Linked DNA regions of Coturnix japonica. The protein of the gene in region 2 interacts with the protein of the main gene of each other region in a biochemical or structural test. Links are inferred from orthologs where the notes say so. Each region holds a gene or a part of one and is shown on either strand. Other genes may lie near its edges.

Region 1 (11,109 bases), on a different chromosome or scaffold from region 2:
CATTGTGGCTGAAGCTGAAGTTGATGTGGACATCCGCCGTGTAACCCAAACAAGGGAAAGAGAGGACACCAGGAGACCACGTGAGTCTGTGAGGTATGAGAGAACACGGGAGGACATTGTGGCTGAAGCTGAAGCTGATGTGGAGATCCGCCGTGTATCCCAGGAACGTGAGAGAGCAGAGGATGCCAGGAGACCTCGTGAATCAGTGAGGCGTGAGAGGACACGAGAGGACATTGTGGCTGAAATAGAAGGAGATGTGGAGATCCACCGTGTGACCCAAGAACGCAAGAGAGAAGAGCAAGCCAGGAGACCAGGTGAATCTGCTAGGTATGAGAGGACATGGGAGGACATTGTGGCTGAAGCTGAATTTGATGTGGACATCCACCGTGAGACTCAAAAAAGGGAGAGAGTATTGGAGGCCGGGAGACCACGAGAATCAGCCGGGTACCAGAGGACACGAGAGGACATTGTGGCTGAAATAGAAGGAGATGTGGAGATCCACCGTGTAACCCGAAAAAGGGAGAGAGAGGATGCCAGGAGACCACGTGAGTCTGTGAGGTATGAGAGGACACGGGAGGATATTGTGGCTGAAGCTGAAGCTGATGTGGACATCCGCCGTGAGACCCAAAAAAGGGAGAGAGTATTGGAGTCCAGGAGACCAAGAGAATCAGCCACGTACCAGAGAACACAAGAGGACATTCTGGCTGAAGCTGAAGTAGATGTGGAGATCCGCCGTGTATCCCGTGAACGTGAGAGAGAAGAGGAGACTAGGAGACCAGGTGAATCTGTGAGGTATGAGAGGACACGGGAGGACATTGTGGCTGAAGCTGAAGCTGATGTAGAGATCCGCCGTGTATCCCGGGAACGGGAGAGGGCAGAGGATGCCAGGAGACCCCATGAATCAGTGAGACGTGAGAGGACACGGGAGGACATTGTGGCTGAACTAGAAGGAGACGTGGAGATCCACCGTGTGACCCAGGAACGCAAGAGAGAAGAGCAGGCCAGGAGACCAGGTGAATCTGCTAGTTATGTGAGAACACGGGAGGACATTGTGGCTGAAGCTGAAGCTGATGTAGAGATCCGTCGTGTAACCCGGGTACGCGAGAGAGAAGAGGATGCCAGAAGACCACGTGAGTCTGTGAGGTACCAGAGGACACGACAGGACATAGTGGCTGAAACTGAAGTTGATGTGGACATCCGCCGTGAGACCCAAAAAAGGAATAGAGGATTGGAGGCGAGGAGACCACGAGAATCAGCCACATACCAGAGGACACGAGAGGACATTGTGGCTGAAGCTGAAGCCGATGTAGAGATCCGCCATGTATCCCGGGAAGTCGAGAGAGCAGAGCAGGCCAGGAGACCAGGTGAATCTGTGAGGTATGAGAGGACACGGGAGGACATTGTGGCTGAAGCTGAAGCTGATGTGGAGATCCGCCATGTATCCCGGGAAGTCGAGAGAGCAGAGGATTCCAGGAGACCATGTGAATCTGCCAGGTATGAGAGGACACGGGAGGACCTTGTGGCTGAAGCTGAAGTTGATGTGGACATCCGCCTTGAGACCCGAAAAACGGAGAGAGAGGACACCAGGAGACCACGCGAGTCTGTGAGGTATGAGAGAACACGGGAGGACATTGTGGCTGAAGCTGAAGCTGATGTAGAGATCCGCCATGTATCCCGGGTACGTGAGAGAGCAGGGGATGCCAGGAGACCCCGTGAATCAGTGAGACGTGAGAGGACACGGGAGGACATTGTGGCTGAACTAGAAGGAGACGTGGATATCCACCGTGTGACCCAGGAACGCAAGAGAGAAGGGGAGGCCAGGAGACCAGGTGAATCTGCTAGGTACGAGAGGACACGGGAGGACATTGTGGCTGAAGCTGAATTTGATGTGGACATCCACCGTGAGACTCAAAAAAGGCAGAGAGTGTTGGAGGCCGGGAGACCACGAGAATCAGCCAGGTACCAGAGGACACGGGAGGACATTGTGGCTGAAGCTGAAGCTGATGTAGAGATCCGCCGTGTATCCCGGGTACGTGAGAGAGAAGAGGAGCCCAGGAGACCCCGTGAATCAGTGAGACGTGAGAGGACACAGGAGGACATTGTGGCTGAACTAGAAGGAGACGTGGAGATCCACCGTGTGACCCAGGAACGCAAGAGAGAAGGGGAGGCCAGGAGACCAGGTGAATCTGCTAGGTACGAGAGGACACGGGAGAACATTGTGGCTGAAGTAGAAGGGGATGTGGAGATCCGCCGTGTAACCCGAAAAAGGGAGAGAGAGGATGCCAGGAGACCACAGGAGTCTGTAAGGTATGAGAGAACACAGGAGGACATTGTGGCTGAAGCTGAAGCTGATTTAGAGATCAGCCGTGTATCCCGAGAACGTGAGAGAGAAAATGAGTCCAGGAGACCTGGTGAATCAGTGAGACGTGAGAGAACACGGGAGGACATTGTGGCTGAAGCTGAAGTTGATGTAGAGATCAGCCGTGTATCCCGAGAACGTGAGAGAGAAGATGAGTCCAGGAGACCTGGTGAATCAGTGAGGCGTGAGAGAACACGGGAGGACATTGTGGCTGAAGCTGAAGTTGATGTGGACATCCGCCGTGAGACCCAAAAAAGGGAGAGAGGATTGGAGGCCAGGAGACCTGTCCCTGAGCCCTGTGATCCTCAGACCATCGCGTATTTGATCCATGTTATCCAGAACCTGAATGATCCCAAAGCTACCACGTATGAGATCATCTGCCAGCAGTCCAATGACTCAGAGCAGCCTGTCTATGTAAGGAAATGCTATGTTTCACCACAGCCACCAGCCGGACCATGCAAAGAAATCAGTGTCCTGGATCCCGAACCACAGCATCTGCCATCTTCCAGTTCCCAGGAAAATACAAGGGAGCTCCAGGAGCCTAGGAAAGGTGAGACTCAGGAAAGGTCTGCAACAGGGGTGAAGGAAGGGGCTCAGCAAACTTCTGCCCCTGAGTTGGATGGTGATGCCAGCCAGGATGAGCCCAGAGAAGACAGGAGGGACCACCAGAGTCCCGGAGTGCATGATGTGGAAGAGAAGGGTGATGGACCAAAAGCCACCAGAGAGGAAGTCTCACAGGAAGCTGAATCCCGAGGAAACAAAAACAGAGAGGCCAAGAGCCGTCCACCCCCAGCCCAGGCTCCAGAGCTGCAGGAAGAAAATAGCAAAAGGAGCTCCCAGCAAGAGAATACCACTCAGCCTCAACATGAGGAGGAATGCAGCCCCATGGCCCCACAAGCACCAAGGGATGAGGCCAAGGCACTCTGAGGGGTTATCCCATCTGTAGCTCCTCTGAGCATCTCCTTGCCCTACACTTAGATGTGACTACATGGTGGCACATTAGTGCTCAACACAAAGGGGTAAAGGGGTGCTCTGCAAGGTGGTGAGATGCTTTGGGGGTTCCCCTCCTGACAAACCCTCAGCAAGGCAGACAGGTAGAGTTATACCAGGATCAGCAGCTCCTGCCTGCCTTCCTTATGTCTATGCTTCCCCCCTCCCCTCCCCACTGCAGTATTTAGTCACTTTCCTGCTCTAATTGGATTCCTTGGGTCTCAGCCCTTTGTGCTCCTGTAGTCTCTTCTGCCCTGTGGCATGACAGCTCTGCAGCTCAGTGCTCTCTTTTTCTCCACCCCCCCACCATGGCTGGCTCTGCAGCTTGTCAGCTTCTGCTGTGCACTGCACAAACAAAAATCCCATTCACTTATTGTAGTCACGGAGCCTGAAATTCCTCAAGGCTGGGAAAACACCTCTGTAGGCTCCAAGTGTTTGGTCACACCTTTCTGCTCTCCCAGCAGCTGAGCAGAATCCCAGCCCCAGCATCACGGAGGCTTTGAAGTGGTTGAGCTCTGTGTGGGTACCGCAGGGAAATGGTGGTGGAGGGTGCATTGGGGTTTCTTCTTCACGCTGATGTATTGCATGAAAAAAATCACAATAAATAGCTGATGACTGCACTGCCTGCTGCTGTTCTCATCTGTCATTTATACAGGCGCTCAGTATGGTGGGAGGGTGTCTCAGTTCAGATCTCTCCTTGGCACTGAATCTAGGCAGGGGTTGCTAAAAGAGAAAGGAAAAAGCAATTTTATTTTCATTTCCAACATGTGGGGGCAATAAATGAGGGAAATCAGGTGGGGAAGGGCCCCTCCCCACCCATTTCCTGCTTTCCTTTCCCCTGCTCTGAATCACAGTTTCCAGCAGGAATTCCCAAGCAGGCGTGGGTGCACCCAACATGCCCAAGCAGCTTTGGGTGCTCCCCCTGTTCTCAGTTGACCCCCACAGCCCCCCATCCTGGCTCTAAGCAGCTCCATTGCACCCCATTGGGGGGGAACACATAACAGGGCATACTGGGGCAGTGAGAAGGGGGAAGCTGCCTTCAAGGGTGCCCAAATTGAAAGCAAAGCCTAAGGATGCTGCAAGGAGTAGAGGGGCAGCATTAGGAGCTCAGCCCTAAGCCTAAAAGAAGAGAGGTATGATGCGAAATAGATAAAAAGGGGGGAGAGGGGATGGAGGAGGGGAGGGAAAGAAATAGAGAAAACAAAATGGAAGCATGATAACTGCAAAAACTACAACGTAAAAGGGAAGGGAGGAGCCCGGCCCGAGGTGGGAACCGCAGGCACGTCCCGATCCGCCGTTACAGCCGCCTATTGCCCAACGTGGCCCCGGAGGGCTGAACCAGGGCTGGGCGCTGCTGGGCGAGGCTCACACCGCCCTCAATTGCTGCACAGCACTGAGCACCGCATAGCGAGCACCGCACCGAGCCCTGAACCCCAGCCATGGTGAGTGAGCATTAGGACGGGGGGGGGTGGAAGCAGAACCGACGTGAGATGCATCGTGGCACTGCGAACAGTGCCAAAAGCTGAGCTGAAGCTCTTAGGGAGGGGTCTGGGCATAGGGGAAGAGAGCAGAGGGTCCCCCCGTGGTTGTGGGGTTGCAGCAAGCTTTCTCTTTGCTCCATCTGTTGTCCTTCCTAGACCCTGTGCTGGGGGCTGCAGCTCGGGTCCAGGGTGGGGGATACAGAGGAAGCGAGAGCTGAGACAGTGGAAGTACAGTGGGGCAGGGCCAACATATAGGAGTGAATGGGGCCTCGGGCAGTGCAGGATGTGGCAGGGAAGCCCCAGGATGCTGAGGTTGGGGAGGAAAGGTCCCACATCCCTGTTCTTGCTCTCACTTTGTGGCTTAACCCTCATCCAGCTCCCCATGTTCTGGCTGCAGTTGGGTGCCAGCCCCGCTCACATTTTTCTCCAGTGACTCAGAGTTTCTGCAATGACCAGACAGTGCAGGGGAAGGGGGATGGGGAGAAGGGGAAGATAGACATAGGGACACAGCCAAGTGGGGCTGGAGAGCACAGAGGAAGGCAGCAAGACTCTAGGAAGAGGCAGCTGCCCTCACCCCTATGTCAACTGATGGTTCCCCAAGGGAGTTTCCATGTTCCTTAAGTTCCCAAGAGCCGCTGCGGCCCTGGAACAGCCACAACCACTCCCTGCACTGCACCACTCCCATCCCTCCTCACCACAGGGCTGTGCTAAGCAAGAAAGAAATGAATACCAAAGAAAAATGCAGCTGGACAGGTTGGATACAGGAAACAATGGAGGGCAGGCGGACCTGAGCCTTTTCTCCAGGAGACACACGACCCTTCTTGCAAAGGCAGAGCAAGCTGTAGGCACAACCTGAGCTCCTTTCTGCTTTGCAGTCCAAGGTTTCCCCCACCGAGACCGAGCGCTGCATCGAGTCGCTGCTGGCCGTCTTTCAGAGGTACGCAGGGCGTGAAGGAGACAACCTCAAGCTTTCCAAGAAGGAATTCCTGGCTTTCATGAACACCGAGCTGGCTTCTTTCACAAAGGTGAGTGAAAGCCAAGCCAGGACACTCCCAGGGCATTGAAAACCTCTGTCTGTACCACAGAGTACAGGGGAAAGCCCTGATTTCCATGAGCAGAACACAATCTGACCCAGCACTGCCCCCAAATAGATTCTGCTCCTTTTGCCAAGGCTGTGTTAGGGCTGAATTCAACAGCTTCAGGTCCATACCTGGGGGTGCCCTTCTCCAGGTAAGCATCGATCCCATCTTTTGGTCTCTTGCAGAATCAGAAGGACCCTGGTGTTGTGGACAGGATGATGAAGAGGCTTGATCTCAACAGCGATGGGCAGCTGGACTTCCAGGAGTTCCTGAATCTCATAGGAGGCATTGCAGTGGCCTGCCATGAGGCACTGCTCATTCAACCTCCTCGCCCCTAATCCAAGCAGCCTCATCTCACCCCCACTGTGAACATTCCTCAACCATAAACCCTAGCAAATATGGAAACAATATCACAACATCCCTAACTCCTTGTTTTTATGAATAAAGGTTTAAAATCCTATCATAAAGCCTTGCTTTATTTCAGAGAAAATAACAAGCAACTGCAGCCTCTATTTTCTGGAAATAAGAGAATTTTCTCTATCTGGCAGCGTAACAACACAAGGAGATGGGGTGGGTGATGTGGAAAGAGGAAGTATAATGTAGTATCTAAGAGCTAAGCTACAGAACAGGAAGATCAAGGCAGTCAATTTACTTTATTCATGTCAGAGGCAGATTATGCAGAGAAATGCTGCTAGGACAACAAAACAGTCAACACAAACACTTGGGTGCTGAGCTGCTCTCCAGTCACTTCTGAGGGTGATGTGCTGGCTCCAGTTTCAGACAGTGCCACACTCCTATGAGAGCCACACCCAGCTGGTTCCTGCCATCCAGGTACTATAGGATCCTTAAGGAACCCTACACTAATGAGTGTGAGAGGCAAGCAGTTCCTATTGAGTGCACTGTAGCATATCCAGGTCTTGGCAAGAGCCACATCATTATACCCTCTGGAAAATATATGCCTGAAAACAATGGTACACAAAGACAACATCAGCTGGATCTGAAAGGGGATCCTAAGTTATTACTACTGCCAGCAGAGAGCTTTGCTACAGCACTTCTGGGTGGAGAAGAGCAGTTAAGACACAACACAAGTATAGCTACGGTGAAGGGAGTTGACTAGAAGCTGGAATGGTGGGAGGTGAAAGCTTCCACATCATGCTGAGAAACAGGGCCATCTTCCTCTGAACTCACACCTCCCAGGGACTGGCACACAGCTCAGCGGAACTGGAGGGGGCTGATCCGCAGCCCAATGACATCTTTGCCAATCTCTGTCACCTGAGGAATGAAAGGGTGATGATTAATGCTTGAAACTAACAGAATAACCCAATCCCGTATGCAACACGGAGAGCCTGGATGGTTCCCACAATGAACTATGCTCATCCTTGCAATGTCAGGCTCTGAAGGCAGTATCTAAGCTATGTCGTATTTTGTAATTTCCAAACTGCTCCACCTCAAATATTAAGTCCTCTGCCCACCAACTTGATCCAAAACCCACTTCAGGAGCAAGGGGGAAGCTACTGGAGAGGAATTCTCGAGGAAAACACAGGCTAGATAGGAGTGAGTAGCAACAGAAACTCCCTTACTGTTGTGACACGACAGATCTGCCCCTGGAACTCAGGGCTGTAGCAAGCTCCACTGAGTGGACACTTCTCCACAGGCTTGCCACGATAGATGGGTCGGTAAGAGGCAGCACAGATGTCAAAGGGGTTGTGCATGTCATAGTTGAGCTGGTAGGTGTCAGTGGGATTCTTCTCGCATGCCGACAAGATCTTGCGGGTCTGCAAAAAGCAACCACATCATTCAGAGGGGGAACTAGAAAGCAGACTAAATAGAGTCTACTACAAATAGTGTTTCAAGGCCATGCAACACAGACATACCTGCTGGGCCACCTCAGGCTTTGGCCCCAGCTCCAGCAGACGACGAGCAAAAGTAGCAGCTGTCTTGAAGTTTTTGAGTTTGAAGAAGAGGTTGAGAGCAGTGCGCAGTACCAGGATCATGTGGACAGGCTGTAGGTTGGAGTGGGTGAAATAGGCAGCCATCTGCATCAGGGAGAAGGAGGTAAAGCAAGGATACAGTCACAACCAACCAAGTAAGTAACTGGATACCCTGAAAATGAGACCAAAAACACACAACCTTCTCCCAGTTCATCACTGCCACATCTGTTTTTGAAGGCAAGAAGTGGCAGAATAGAAGATTCCCAATGCCTATTTCAAACCTAAAGGCTATTTCTGACACTCAGCTTCTGTACCTCACAGATTCGCTTCTGGTGTTCCAGGGTCTCCTTAGGCAGTTTCTTCCGTTCGATCTCCATTGAGAGCCCTACGATATACTCCCGACAAATGGCTATCAGCTGCTGGGCCTTTGAGAGAAGGAGACAGTCAGGCATTTGGCCTCCAGCCCCATAGCCACACTGACAATAGGCAGAAGAGGTCTACCCCTCACCTCAGCAATCTCCTGCTTATTGTCCACCACCAGCAAGGGCACACTCAGCAAGATGGAGCGGAACTTCTCCACAGCCTCTTCAAACTTGCCAGCTGTTGTGAGCTGGTAACACAGCTGCAAGCGCTGGATCAGGTCATTGAGCTTCAGCCCAACAGCTGGGAGGGCATTTTTTATGCCAGCTTCTTTCCTAGAGGCACCACAGAAGGGATGGAGTAGAAGTAGGAGTAACACAGAGGCCAGCCAGTACACACCAGCATTACACAGCTGCAACTTAATGGCACTGTAACCTAGAGCTGTGCTGTTCTTGACCATTAGCATAGCATAAACAACACCTGTGCTTCCACAGTTGTCACCCTCAATGCCAAGCTCTCGCTGCATTAACACAGGATGGAAAAGTCTGACTTATTTTTCCACTGCAGTTTCCCCAGTATCACAGTAGAAATACACATCTATGTTTCTTTAGATGTCCCAACCTTCAGACGACTAGCAGAGGTAGAACACCTAACTAATTTGGGCTATAACTGTTGAAGACTTGTGGATATATGGCAACAGGAAAAGAGCACAGAAGAGGAGCTAACCCAATATTGCTTACCAGTTGCGATGTGGGTAGCCATACATGGTAGGGAGACATGGCAGGGCTTGGTAGGTTGTACGGCCACGGGCGTAAGTCTGCAGGAACAGCTGCTTGTAGGGTCCAAAGTTCGTTACTCCCACCTGGTCATGGAGGAGCTGAAAGGGATACAATGATGTACTGACTTGTCCAGAGCCATAAGGAAGCTGCATAGACACCACTCAGGCTCACAGACCCTCTTAATTTACATCCAGAGAAAGAAATGTACAGAATGATTCACAGAACAAAGCTTCAGAGGGCAGAGACAAAAACAGAAGGGGACAAGGGCACCTTTTTTCCCCTCTCCCTTCCCCCCAGAAACACCAAGTGTAACTTACTCTCATTGCTGTCTCAAAGGAACCTGCCAGAATGTGGTCAACAGGAAGCTGTGAATTGTTACACCACACCTGCAAGAATGGAAGGGAAATCATACTGTGCATATACACACACTCACTGCCCTCAATCCCCTTAATAAGTTCTTGCGCTGTGCACACAGATGAATATTAGTAAAGACTAAATCTGGAAGAAATGAAACAGCATCAAGGTAGAAAGTTTCTGAAAAACATCAAAGACTTGTGATGTTACCTGAGCTGGGCTGGTGCCCTTGGTGGGTGGCACAAAGAAACCATCTTCTGCTCCTCCTGCTGGACCAGCAGGAACATCCTAAGGGAACAACACAGAGCAGAGATTAGTTCCCAGCACTCAGATGAAATCAGAGGTGGCCACAGCTGTAGCGACCAAGCTTCTAATGAAGCCCAGATCAGTATTCTCCCTCCCAACCCCCAGCTGCAAGCACCTTCCAAAAGCATCAATGACTCAAAGAACTCCCTACCAGTTCAGGAGGAAGATCCAAATCTTCTTCAACTTCCCATCCACCTCCTTCTTCCTGTCCTTTACCCAGACCTTCCTCTCCAAAGCCTTCTCCAGCATCCACAAAGCCATCTGCATGGAGAGGGGAGGAAAAGAAACCAACAACAGTTAGAGCTCTTACTCAGACACACGTTTTCACTTCTCTAAGAAATATTGTTTGACACACTCACCTTCATCGAGCTGTAATTCTGCATCTTCTCCCCAGCCTTCGGTGCCAACATTGTCGATATCAATGTCAGCAGCCAAGGCACCCCCTTTACCTAAAAGAAGGACAGGGCTATTCATTTGCACATCCGAGTAAGTCAGGCATTAAGAAAATAACTGTCAAAACTCACGTTAAAAGCCAGATTTTTAGATTTGTCAAGGGCAGCATAAATACCAACTCTGAAATCCAAAAATCTATAGATTTGTAGTAAAAACAAATGTGGGGTTTAACAGCAACAGCTCAGTAGACATAGAAACAATTGTATCTGCTCTGAGTATCTTAACAGCCTTCCAAGTACAATGAAATACCTTTGCTAGCAATTGTGCCTTCAAAGAACCCCTTGGAGACAGTCAGCAACGGCCAGTTTGTATCTAGAGGCATAACAGGAGCAGGAGGCTGCAGTAGTTTTGCATTGGGATCGATGTCTGGAATCTGAACAGAAAAAGAGAAGAACAGCTAAGGGCCACATAAGGAAAATCCCCATCTTTGACCCAGCTCCACACAGCAAAGTTCCAAGTCTATGGGACGTGGTGAGAAGAAACAAAGATGGTGCCCCCACTCCCAGAAAAGGAGCTGCCAAACTGGTCAAATTAACATGAAATCCCATTGTCAACCATCCCAAACTGCAGTGTTGTTGTTGTTATGAAGCATTGATCAAGTTGCTAACCGTTTCCTTCTCAGGATCAAATGTTTCCTTCAGGTTTTCAGCTTCCTCATCCAGGCCATGAGTTGCAGCTGTGAGATAGGCCAGGGACTCTGAAATTAGATACAACTAATGTGAATGCATGCCCTTTGTTGTCTGGAGAAGGAGAACATCACAGACCAGCTTTCTATCCACTTCGTTCAGTTTCTCATCTCTCTCCTAAAATTAGTGGTCATTCCAAAATACTCTCCAGCACCACCCCAGGCCAGAGAGGAACACATTGATCTGTTATTACTTACTTTGTCCACAGTTCTTCAGGATCCTCACTCTCTCTGCCACATCTCCTAGATACAAGGCATTCTGGTAGTGGCCACTCATATCTTTACGGATCTCAGCTAAACCAAAACAAAACAGAGTCAGTTTTGTTCTTCTT
Region 2 (10,902 bases):
TCTCCTTTGTCCCACTTTCTTCCCACAAATTACTTTAAAATAATAATAATAATAATAAGGAAAGTTTTAGCATGCTTTTCATTATGGCATTTCCCGTGACAAATTTATAGGCATTTTCTTTTCTCTTAATTTTAGCTTTTACTTCTCCTTCATAAGCTTTAAATAGCTGTGCTACCATTTCCTTGAAAGTCTTAAGTGAATGCAAAAAGCCCAGTGCCACTGAAATGCTACTATATGTATTCCCAAGAGCATATCTGGCTGCCTTCATAGTGTAACAGTAGTATCCCCTGTTGCCACTAGATTCTTTATTTTTGCAGTCACTTGTGCATGACTTTCTCCACATCAGAAGAATTATTATAGAATTCATACACTGTGCTTCACCAGTAGTTGTGTAAATTCCATTACAAGCAAGTTCTCACCCTAACATCTTGAGTACTCTGCAGTTATTTGCAGTCTAAATGCATTTGATACAATGTGGTAGATGTTTCGTTTGTTTGTTTTGAAGATAGTTTAGGAGGAATCAATAATACCATTTTGTTTTCTCATCTTCTTTTTTTATTTTATTTTATTTTTTTCTTTTTTTTTTTCTTTTTCCTTTAGCCAGTACTTTATTTCTAACATTGATTAATAAAGTGGCAGCAGAAAACATGGAAGCAAATTTGTTGGTAGAACTCTATGGACTAATCGACACCCAAAATTCAGCACAAGAAGTAGTTAACTATTGAGTGGAGTCCTTAGGATCTATGTTTCAAATTCATTAGCAGACATTATATGTCAGATTTTGTCCTTTGTTTAGGTGTAAAAGCAGGAGGAACAATCTCCTTTTACCTGTCTTACGTATAAACTTATCTGCATTTAAAAATATTCTATCTAAAGTGTCTTATATTTAGAGCTTAGCTTAATTTTCTCTTTTGATGCACTTAGTAATTGGCACAGAAAACACGCTCGTCGATTTACTGCTTGTTCTCTCTATCCCCACTTGCTTGTGCACCATAGCTTCTTTGGACAGACTGCCCTTTCTAAATGTCAGGAAATTACTTAAGCCCTTAGGTGTTTCTTTAACTGGAACACTTAATCATTGTTATTATTTTAAAAGAAATATTCCCCATCTCTTGCTCTGACCATTAGGAAATGTTTTCACAATGAAATGAGTGGTGCAATCAGTCTGTTTCACAAGTATTAACAGAAATCCTATATTTTTCAGTACTTGAAAATAATTTTGAACTGTAAAGTTGGATGCAAATTTGTCTTGGAGATTCGAAGTAGAGACAATACATACTAACAGTAAGGATGCTTGTGAACTGGCCATATGTCAAAAGTGTTCTTCTTTTAAAACTTCCCTTTAAACAACATCAATAAAAAAAATAAAATTAAATTAAAAAAAAACTTTTGAAATTAATACTCTCATTGTACAGAAAGCTTTGCCTCATGGACGGAAATCAAAGGCTAAAAGAATTTAACTGAATGCAGCAGTAGTTAACCTATGATTACTCATGACATGCAACTACATAGACATACGGCAATCCCTCTTCTTCAACAAAAACAGTATTTATATTTGCAGAAATGGGACCAAACAGAATATACTCAAAACGGTGCCACTCTTGACCTTACTAAAGGCACATGTGAAAATCTATTGAAATGTCTTACAATTAGGAGAGCTGTTGGAATTTAGTAGTGCAATTTAATCATTTCCTTCTGTTCCCCAGATCTTCAAATACTCAGCTAGCAAGTACTCCTCTTTGTAATGTGTTTGACTTCATACTGTTATCTCCTCATTTGCACCTAAAGAGACTTCCAAGTGCTCACTTCTTCAGATATTAAAGCTAAATAGCAAGACCAGGCTTGCTACTCTTGAGGCACATCTGAACTCTGCAAAACAAGACTGGAAAAAGCCTGCTTAAGATACGTACAAATTTACTACCAATCCTCAAGCTATATTATTTTTAAAGAAAAAGTAGCTTTTTTTGGGTGCGTTTTTTGCGTCTTTTGACTTTCCTGCTGAATGTACATACCTGTTGAAAAACAATTATTTCCTACGCTGATGAAATCAGACTCTAACCTTCTGCAGAGCTGAAACACCTCTCAATTTCAAAATAACCTATGTTTTGCAAGAAAGAGTCTCCTGATCAGGCCTAATAACTGACTTCTTAGAACTTAATTAGTTATTAACTAACTACAAACTACAGGTTTACTCTCTTTTTTTTCAAGGTGTGTTGAATTCTCTGGACACCTGCCTCTTAAGAAAGTGAATCTTTCACTAGTGACACAATCAAAACATACAGAGTGGTTTGTTCTGCTTTTCTCTGAAGCTTGTCAGTTATTAAGTGAGATATCTTAAACATAATTTGTGTGTGTTTATCTGTTTCGATGTTTCTCTGCTTTAGTTGACAACCATTATGTTTATTTCCCATAAGCTCTTTTGCCTGACTATCCTATGAAGAAACAAGAATTATGACCAGAGTTAACTATAGTAGTATGGGTATATGCATCTTGAAAAATACATAGGGTAGTTAAGAAAAATGAAAATAGCTGTCTCCGTGAAAGATATGTGGGAATATTCTATCCAGATGTCCTCATTCTAATATTTTCTTCTATTAAAAAAAATTCAACTTTTCCAGATATCTATTTCTATTATCCTAGATCATTCCAGTGTGAAACTGACAGCTTGCAATTTTTATCACAGAACAGCCAAGGTGATCTCTGATTTCCCAGTAGCTAAGTCTGCTGTTCAAAGGAATATTTGGAAGCCACCCTAAAAGAGACCACCAAAGTTTGTACAAAACTAAGAATCAACAAGCCTAATTCCACCAGTGCACCTGGGGTTTATAACTACCTCATTAGTTATCTAAAGCCTGGACAGTGACACAAAACAGAAAAAATAGAGGTAATAATAATAGAGGTAACAATAGCAGGTTTTCCATTTTGGAAATACTGTATAAGACCACCAGGAAAAAAGGAAAAAAAAAAAAAAGATCATGAACTGTAATCACTTCTTCCTTTTTTTTCTTTTTCCAACATAGAAACTATAATTAATATCTTTAAAGAGTAAATCAAATATAACTTTTTTTTTCATGTATTAACATTTTTAACAAGTCACTTTCAGTTAATTTTTAACATCTGAGTTCCATAAATCCTTGCTGAAGTGAAAGAAAAAAGTACAAAATCAACAATACTCTGATACTGTTATATTCTGTTTTGACTATTTAAATAATTAACTGTTTTGTTTTGTTGGTTTTTTTTTATTATTTCATGTACTGTGTGTAGACAAGCTGATAGGAAATGAAGAAAAAAAATGAATCTACAAGCAAAATTCACAGAGATTAATTTTATTTTTTTAAAGTTAGTTTGATTTTCTTAGATGAAAACTTCATTCTTTCATGATTAATTAAGCAAATAGAAACTTAATGATATTTGTTGACTTTAGATAAATAGTGGTAAAAAGATTTATTCATTCCATACAGAATACATTCAGAGTTCCAGGTTTTCTACATAAAAGCTGAATACTAAGTACAATTCCAAAGAAATCTCACTGTGTGAAGCCTGTATATTATATAGGCAGCTAAGGCTAATATAAACACCTTCAGCAACAGGACTTGAGTGCATCAGAGCAAGATACTTATTTATCACTTCCACATAAAGCCACCAGGATGGTTTCATAATCCCCTTTGAGTTCATCCTGTCAAAGTATAGAGAAGTACAATTGTTAGGATAATGGTCACAAGCAAAATCAATTTCAGTACATTTACTAAACATATGATATTCACATAAATAAATTCATCATTTTACAACATAATCCACAGCATGAGCTTGAACTGAGTACTCTCACTGAAGTGAACTATTCATTTCCCAGACAGGAGTAAATGTAAACAAGACTGACAAAAAACAAAATAAAATGTTTCTAGACATAAATGAAAAAGAGAAGTAGGAAATAGACAGGACTTAAATGTCCAGGAGGTTAAGTTTTCCTTCATTACACAAAGTGAAAATGCCTTCCTTGATCAGTGACATCTAGTGTTCATTCATACTAAAATACTACACATGTTCATTCATACTAAATCCAGTGTTCATCTGCACTAAAACATGATGAACATTTTATCTATGATTGTATGAGCCATTAATAGTCCAGTGATACTGGATTCACCAAAGAATGTCTTACTCAGCCATGAGAAATAGATAACTCACTGAAATTTGACATGCTATGTTTTCTCAAGTTTGAATCTATCGTACATATACTAAAGTATTATATACTGCAGACAACCTAGGCCTTGAGTCATTTGGATACATTCACCATTTTGATTAAGATGGTGATATTTCATAGAGAATTACAGATAACACACAATCATAGTGGAAGAATAAAAATGGTCTCCGTCATCTAAGTGAAAAAGAAGCCAACACAAGCTAAAATCAAGTAGGTACTTTAGTACATGTAGAGACTATGTTTTCTGCTCTCTTCCTTAATCATTAGCCTCCACAAGGGTGTTCTGCAGGTTTAGCTTTCTTCTAGTACCTCACTTGCTTCAGTTTTCTAGGAAATAAATTGAGTGGACTGTCTCCTTTAAAAAGATATTTTAGACAGTTTATCTCATTTTAACTAAGTAACCTGGAAAGCAGGACAAACAGACAGCAACTTAATAAGATATTTGCAGGAGTATTCAAACATGAAAAGAGCCAAATGCACACAGTTTACCTCACTAAGTTGTAAGATCGATTATGTCCACCCTCCCACTAACATGCTTTGTCTGCCCAAGTCAGGAGCTTGGGAATAGATTAATCTTTCAACTTTTGGTATCTACTATAAGATAACCACAATTAGCCAAAAAATTATAGCTTTTGCAACAAAAATATTGCACCATAAAGTAAGTCAGTTCTACCAGCATATGGATCTCTGAGAACATGAGTTACTCAGCTATGCATTATTCAGATAACTGAAAAGCATAAGAATTATCAAACATTTTTTACCATTCTGTAGCTCACTCAAGAGAAAACCTACCATAATTGCTTGGCGAAGAGATATACCATACAGACTCTTATAATAAGCCTTGATCTCATTCAAGTCTATTTCATGGCGTGAAACCATGATTCTGATTAGCTGTTTGTGTCGTGTTCCACTCCCCTGTAAAAAGTAATGAACAAATAAACAAAAATTAGTGCTATTTAAGTCATTGAAAAATTTTCCTAATTAAGATTCTTTCTGTTAATCCATATTTTTATTTATATTTTTATCAGTACAAAGGTCCGATTTCTCTAAAATATTTAGTCCACTCATATTGAACCTTCTAGTTCCAGTGTGGTTAAATTTTGGTTGTCTCCACCCTTGGACTTCTTCTTATGAATTTGTTTCATTTGCTTCCTAAAAATACACAAATCTTTTATCATGCTTGCTGAAAACCAGGGACAAGCTAGATTTCGCTGTAGTGTATTTTTGAGGTGAGTTTATTATTATTTATTTGTTTATTTATTTTAGTGAACTGTTATTTTCATGATTCTCCCAGCTGGTCATGGACCAGTCAAAGCTGATCCTTATCAAATCACAGGCGTTACATAAATTCCTGCATAATATACTGCTTCATGAGCCACATGAGCCGTAGTCAACTCAGGATCCAAAACAGTCAGATGTTTTGCCAAAGATTAAGCTCTTACAAGGTTCCCCTCCTGATCTATAGCTGCTTTCCTATTTCATTATTACCAATATTTTAGTGGTTACAAAAAATATGAAGACATTCAGTTAGATTTCTGTTACAGCGCAGAATATAAGATGTATGTGTGAATGGAGGGGTGCCTTCCTGAATACACACTGGCAAATCAACAGTTCTTTCTATGGAAGGACACTCAGAAATTTCAAAGGAGTGAAGTCAGGCAGAATCACATTGGATTCTCCTCTGCAGTCTCATTTTTATTACACAAAGATCTTGGAGATATCTAGCTCTATGTTTGATTTTTCCATTCATAAAGCACCCCACGAACACAAGAAGTTCTTTCTCAAGGTTACCTTCATTGCCAAGTGGAGTTTTTCAGCAAAGAAAGCTGGCTTGCTTGTGGCACACTTCACTATAATGAGACAGTGGAATTACTCATGTATATTATAAATGTAGAAAGAAACAAAATCAAAAACTGAAGAGAATTCTTAAAATATCTCAGTGTTCTCACTAGATACACAGATAACCTGTTTATTCTTTCACTTGACTTCAAAATATGGGAGAAGTAGCAGTTCCTTTCCTGTATCTGTTCAGAAGGCAATTCAATCACAGAAGAAAATTCTACTTTCTCTAAAGTCAGGACTGTACTTCCAAGCCTGCTGTCACAAAATGTAAGATGTTGCAGTTCTTACAAAGAAAAAACATGAAAATTCAGGTTCTCTACAGCTAAGCTGGAGGTTATGACCTGATATTTTGTAAGCACTTCACATCTGATACTAAGAGAGATCTCATTTGTTTTTATCCAAAGAATGCTCGACTGTGATGCAAAAGAGAAAAACAAGTTGAGGGTCTGCTTTCTTATCCCATCCCTGGTCCAAGAACAACAAGTAATTTAAGAGGTTCACCTTACTGCTCATGCAGGTAATTTTGAAGGTTTTAATATACATCTTTATCATGAATCCTATAATAGTACTTTCTTGAAGAACACCATTAAAGAAAATATATTATGTTTTTAATAACTATACGTAGTTAATGTCTTGCTTCCCAGTGAAGATAAACCAAAATGGTTTTCCATTACTATGAAGTAAAAGTTAGTTTTTCATACAGTCAGCATACATAATAACTTATTACCCACAGAAGTACTTACCAAGGGCAGTCAGACAGTTTTCAATATCACCTTTCAGCTCCAAATCAAGTACTTTGTTCATGTCATGCTTGCTGTATTTGGCATACTTCTGAAAGACTAAATGAGGGAAGAATACTCAGTGAGGAGTGATGAAAATATAGTATTCTCATTCAAAACTGACCTTGTTATTCTGTCTGTACTGCTATGGCAATGAACAAACATGACTGGTTGCAGTCCATCTTTATCATTTCCTTCAGCTACCACAGTGTAAACAAAAGCAGTACTGTAAGAGCTGATGATGTCAACATGAGGAAGAGAACTGTGCTAGGGTGTGGAGCTCATTTTCACATTAGCAGAAGAAGAGGTGATACAGTTATTCCACTGGAACCTGTACAGTTTTCTCACTGAGGGCAACCTGGTTTAAGGAGCTGCACCATGTGTTTGGAACCCAACCACACTGATTCACTCTTCTTGTGTTCACTAGTTTTGTGAGTAACATTTATGTTAATAAACTAAGTGATACTGCTCTTTACTAGAGTGAAAAGAATGGCAGAGTGGCCAACTGCGCCATTAGGTCATCAAGCATAACCTTCATAGCAGTCTTCTAACATCTTGGAAATCTACATAATCTTTGAATTTATGAGCAGGCCATGTTCAAAACACAATTCCTGTAAGGAAAAAATTTCACACATCCTACCCCTTCGAAGATGAGGGTAGCTTCTTGAAGTAAGAATGGTAATAAACACACTGACATCCGCCCCTTTTCTTTTCTCTCCTGCTTCATATAAGGCCTGCCATAGACACAAAAAATAAACTTTAAAAAAATAAAATTAAATTAAAATGGTAAAGTTAACATTGGTATAGTAAAACCCATATAGAAATACTGTATTCCTGAGGATTATTTGCTCCCAATACTGACCTCTACCTTAAAAGCTACCGTAAAAGACGTTTTGCAACATTTCTGAAGTTGGCTATTTAAGTTTTCATTTCAGCTAGCGCACCTCATGAACTTTGGAAAATAGCACCCCTCAGAAAATATTGCTACATAATATACAACTGTTTGTCGAGTTTGCATTGCACAAGTGGTGAGACAGAACATTCACAGCCTGGCAGAATTTGTAATAGTGTCAAGTAAAGAAACTCTGCTGAGTGCTAAGTGTAGTCTTACCCTGGCATCATTGTCAGCAAGATCATCATTCACATAAGGATCTTCAGTTCGGTCACCCTATATAAAAATAAGAAAATCCACTGTTAGTTAAAATAATCCAGTTCAGTAAAATTCAGTATTTTAGAGTTCTGATCTGCCATATTCATCAAGAACTCAATATAGAACTGCAGACAGCTGCAGTTATGTTAGTTATTCTGTGAGTAAGCTGACATTTTTGTTAACCAATCAGAGCTCCCACTTCTGGGGCCACCAACAGTGTATTTCTGAAATCATACATTAGAATACATTGATATGAGTGTCTTAATGTGAAGTTACAATCTTTAAAGCTGTGGCACGCTGTCTGATGACCACTGAGTAGACTTCTTCCAAGGTGATTTAAAAGGAAAACAAAAAACCTAAACCGTGCATCATAAAAATAATACTATGTATGTACACAAGAATCATGTACACATACTCAGCAGTGTTGGCACCAAATATTCATGTATTCTAAAAAGTTATTTTTACTTCTTAGCTCCCATTCTTCAACTGAACTGCTTTCAAGCATCCATTCACAGTACATACATACATACATACATAAAATATGTCAATTTATTAGAACCCTGAAACTACCTCACAGGAAAAGCATTTTAATGGGTAGCCAAAAAGGTTTAACAGGTAGCCAAAATAAGCATTTATTCCTTTTATATTTCTAGTCAGTAGATATTCTAGCTGTTTTCTCAAGTCCTAAAAGACAGCTATCACTGAAAAAACTTAAACATCAAATTAATAAATTATAATAAACAACACATATACATTTCTTTAAAATCTGTCTGAGATAGAACTTATTGTAGCTTGTTGAAGAATCTTTGCATATGATCTATGTTATATGAGAAAAAAAGCAGCACAACAAAATAAATAATAATTAAATTCTTATTTATTTCACAAGTTTAACATAATCCTGACAACATTACTGCTAATGTCACTGAAAATGTTTAAGTACAACATACCTTGGCTAGAGTAACCAAAGCCTTTTGAAAGTCTCCAGATGTGTCAGAAATTATATCTTGTGTCAGATCTCTCTTCAGTACTGAAGTCAAATGAAGAAGAATAATAGTTTGTTTTAAACCATGACATCTTTATTGCTCTTTTTTTCCCCATCTTTCCTTAAATATGCTCAATAGAATTGTAGTTTTCTCTTGTTTCATTTTGAGAAAATAGATTTTTTGTGTGTTGTCTTCTTAACCCTGGGATGTGCTATGAAATTGGAGGCTAAACCCAAAAACTGTTGAAAATGTTCACCTTAAGGTACTAACACTTAGGCTCTTGCTTGTGAAAAAGAGGTGAAAATAACAATAACAAAGCCCCAAAACCTTGAAACTTTAAGATAAATTTGTCTCTCATTTTTATATTTGGTTGCACTGTTCAGCACAAAATTCTTCTGAGAAAACAAACAAACAAAAACAAAACAAACAAAAACCCCTATTATTCGTTGTTTCTAACTGAAATTTTGATTGGAAAGTTGCTTATCATTCCATAAAACATGAGTTAATTAGACAACATTGACCAATGGTAGCAAATAATACATATATGGGAGAAGACACAGTATGTTTTAGTTACCTCTCTGAACATTCTTTGCCCTCAGTTCATAGATTATTCCTATCCTTCAAATTATGAGTTGTTAATTCAGTACATTTGTGTCAAGGTCAGTAAGATGATCTTTCAACCCAAGCGATTCTATGATAAGATCTTAAGAAGGAAGACAAGGCATAGCAATGGAAGAAGAGGACCACTGAGGATTTCCTTGTATAAAAGGCAACTAAATGTGTTAACCATTTCAAGAAATACTCAGAGTTCTAGCTGGAACCATGAGTCTTTTCCTAATTTACTGAGACCTATGTAAGCCAGAATTCATCACTATTCCTTCCCTATATCTTCTTCAGTTTTATACGTAGTTTTACTTGTATCCTAAAATGTCAGCTCCTCTTTGAGAAGTAAGGTTCCTACAGAGTTTAGAGAAGATATGCATAACCCACTCTAGTTTTTTTTCACTCCAGGAATTAAGCTTGCACAGATCTGTTCCTTACAAGTGCTTTGATAAATAAATAACAGAGACATGAATCATTATGGGACAGGGCTTGGCCATTGTTCAGTCCTGCATACCATTATACTTCCTTGTTACTTTGAATTACCTTCTTTGTAGTATCTGCTGGCTTCTCTGATTTCTCTGTTGTTTCTTGATGCCAGAATCTCAATTAAAGTGTCTTCATCGGTTCCAAGCCCCTGTTAAAAATGATTGAATTTTTAAAATATATTCTTTATTGTAGAAAACTCATAATTTAGAAAAGAAATATATATATATGATGAGAATCACAGAACAAGACATACAAAGGAAAGACCTTTTGCTTTCATAAAATATTGTAATTTCATCTCACTTAGAACTCATTTTTTTTGGAATCTAATATCATGCTGATATCCAGTGGAACTGTTAAAGTGACTAAGCAACATCCATAAAAGAAAAGAACACAAAAACTGGTGAAAAATGCATCTTTTCCTTTCTATTTTAAGACATATGTAGACACAGTGGCATTCTAGCACTTCATCAGCAACCGCTTTCCAATTTTCAGAAGACAAGGAGAGCTCTTGCTCACAAGAGTAACCAATCTTCTCCAACCTTGAAATTCAGCAGAGATTGCTATCTAGTTTCTAGTGACTGGTTGTGTATAAGTAGCATCATCATATTTTAATACAGGGATGAAATTAATATTATACACAAGCTTATACAATGTGCATCCTGTGGCACTTAAAGGTCCTGAGAGTTATTTATTACTTATTATTATATTATTACTTATTATTATTATTATATATTATTACTTCTCTCTAGCAAAAGCTTCTCTCAATTTTTTGCCTTACCTTCATAGAGGCCCTTAATTCTTCAGCATCAAACTGAGCTGGAGTTTTGAGAAGAGCAACAATAACATCTTCCAAGTGGCTTT

The links.
Region 1: the proteins of ANXA1 (region 2) and S100A11 form a complex in vitro, tested with the Homo sapiens proteins (2 studies listed by BioGRID). The link is inferred for Coturnix japonica from reciprocal best matches to the Homo sapiens genes ANXA1 and S100A11.

Annotation. Positions count from the first base shown.
Region 1 is NC_029540.1:870,707-881,815, reverse strand, and holds S100A11 (protein S100-A11), read left to right. Parts: upstream 1-4,240; 5' UTR 4,241-4,482; intron 4,483-4,592; 5' UTR 4,593-4,788; coding exon 4,789-4,791; intron 4,792-5,705; coding exon 5,706-5,855; intron 5,856-6,094; coding exon 6,095-6,247; 3' UTR 6,248-6,372; downstream 6,373-11,109. Other genes in the region: COPA (coatomer subunit alpha), read right to left, coding at 7,122-7,181, 7,490-7,684, 7,784-7,945, 8,155-8,265, 8,349-8,535, 8,941-9,077, 9,297-9,365, 9,544-9,621 and 5 more. UniProt on the Homo sapiens protein: Facilitates the differentiation and the cornification of keratinocytes.
Region 2 is NC_029547.1:32,378,484-32,389,385, reverse strand, and holds the end of ANXA1 (annexin A1), read right to left. Parts: coding exon 10,820-10,902; intron 10,190-10,819; coding exon 10,099-10,189; intron 8,997-10,098; coding exon 8,917-8,996; intron 7,988-8,916; coding exon 7,931-7,987; intron 7,554-7,930; coding exon 7,460-7,553; intron 6,880-7,459; coding exon 6,784-6,879; intron 6,049-6,783; coding exon 5,990-6,048; intron 5,114-5,989; coding exon 4,991-5,113; intron 3,677-4,990; coding exon 3,617-3,676; 3' UTR 3,307-3,616; downstream 1-3,306. UniProt on the Homo sapiens protein: Plays important roles in the innate immune response as effector of glucocorticoid-mediated responses and regulator of the inflammatory process. Has anti-inflammatory activity.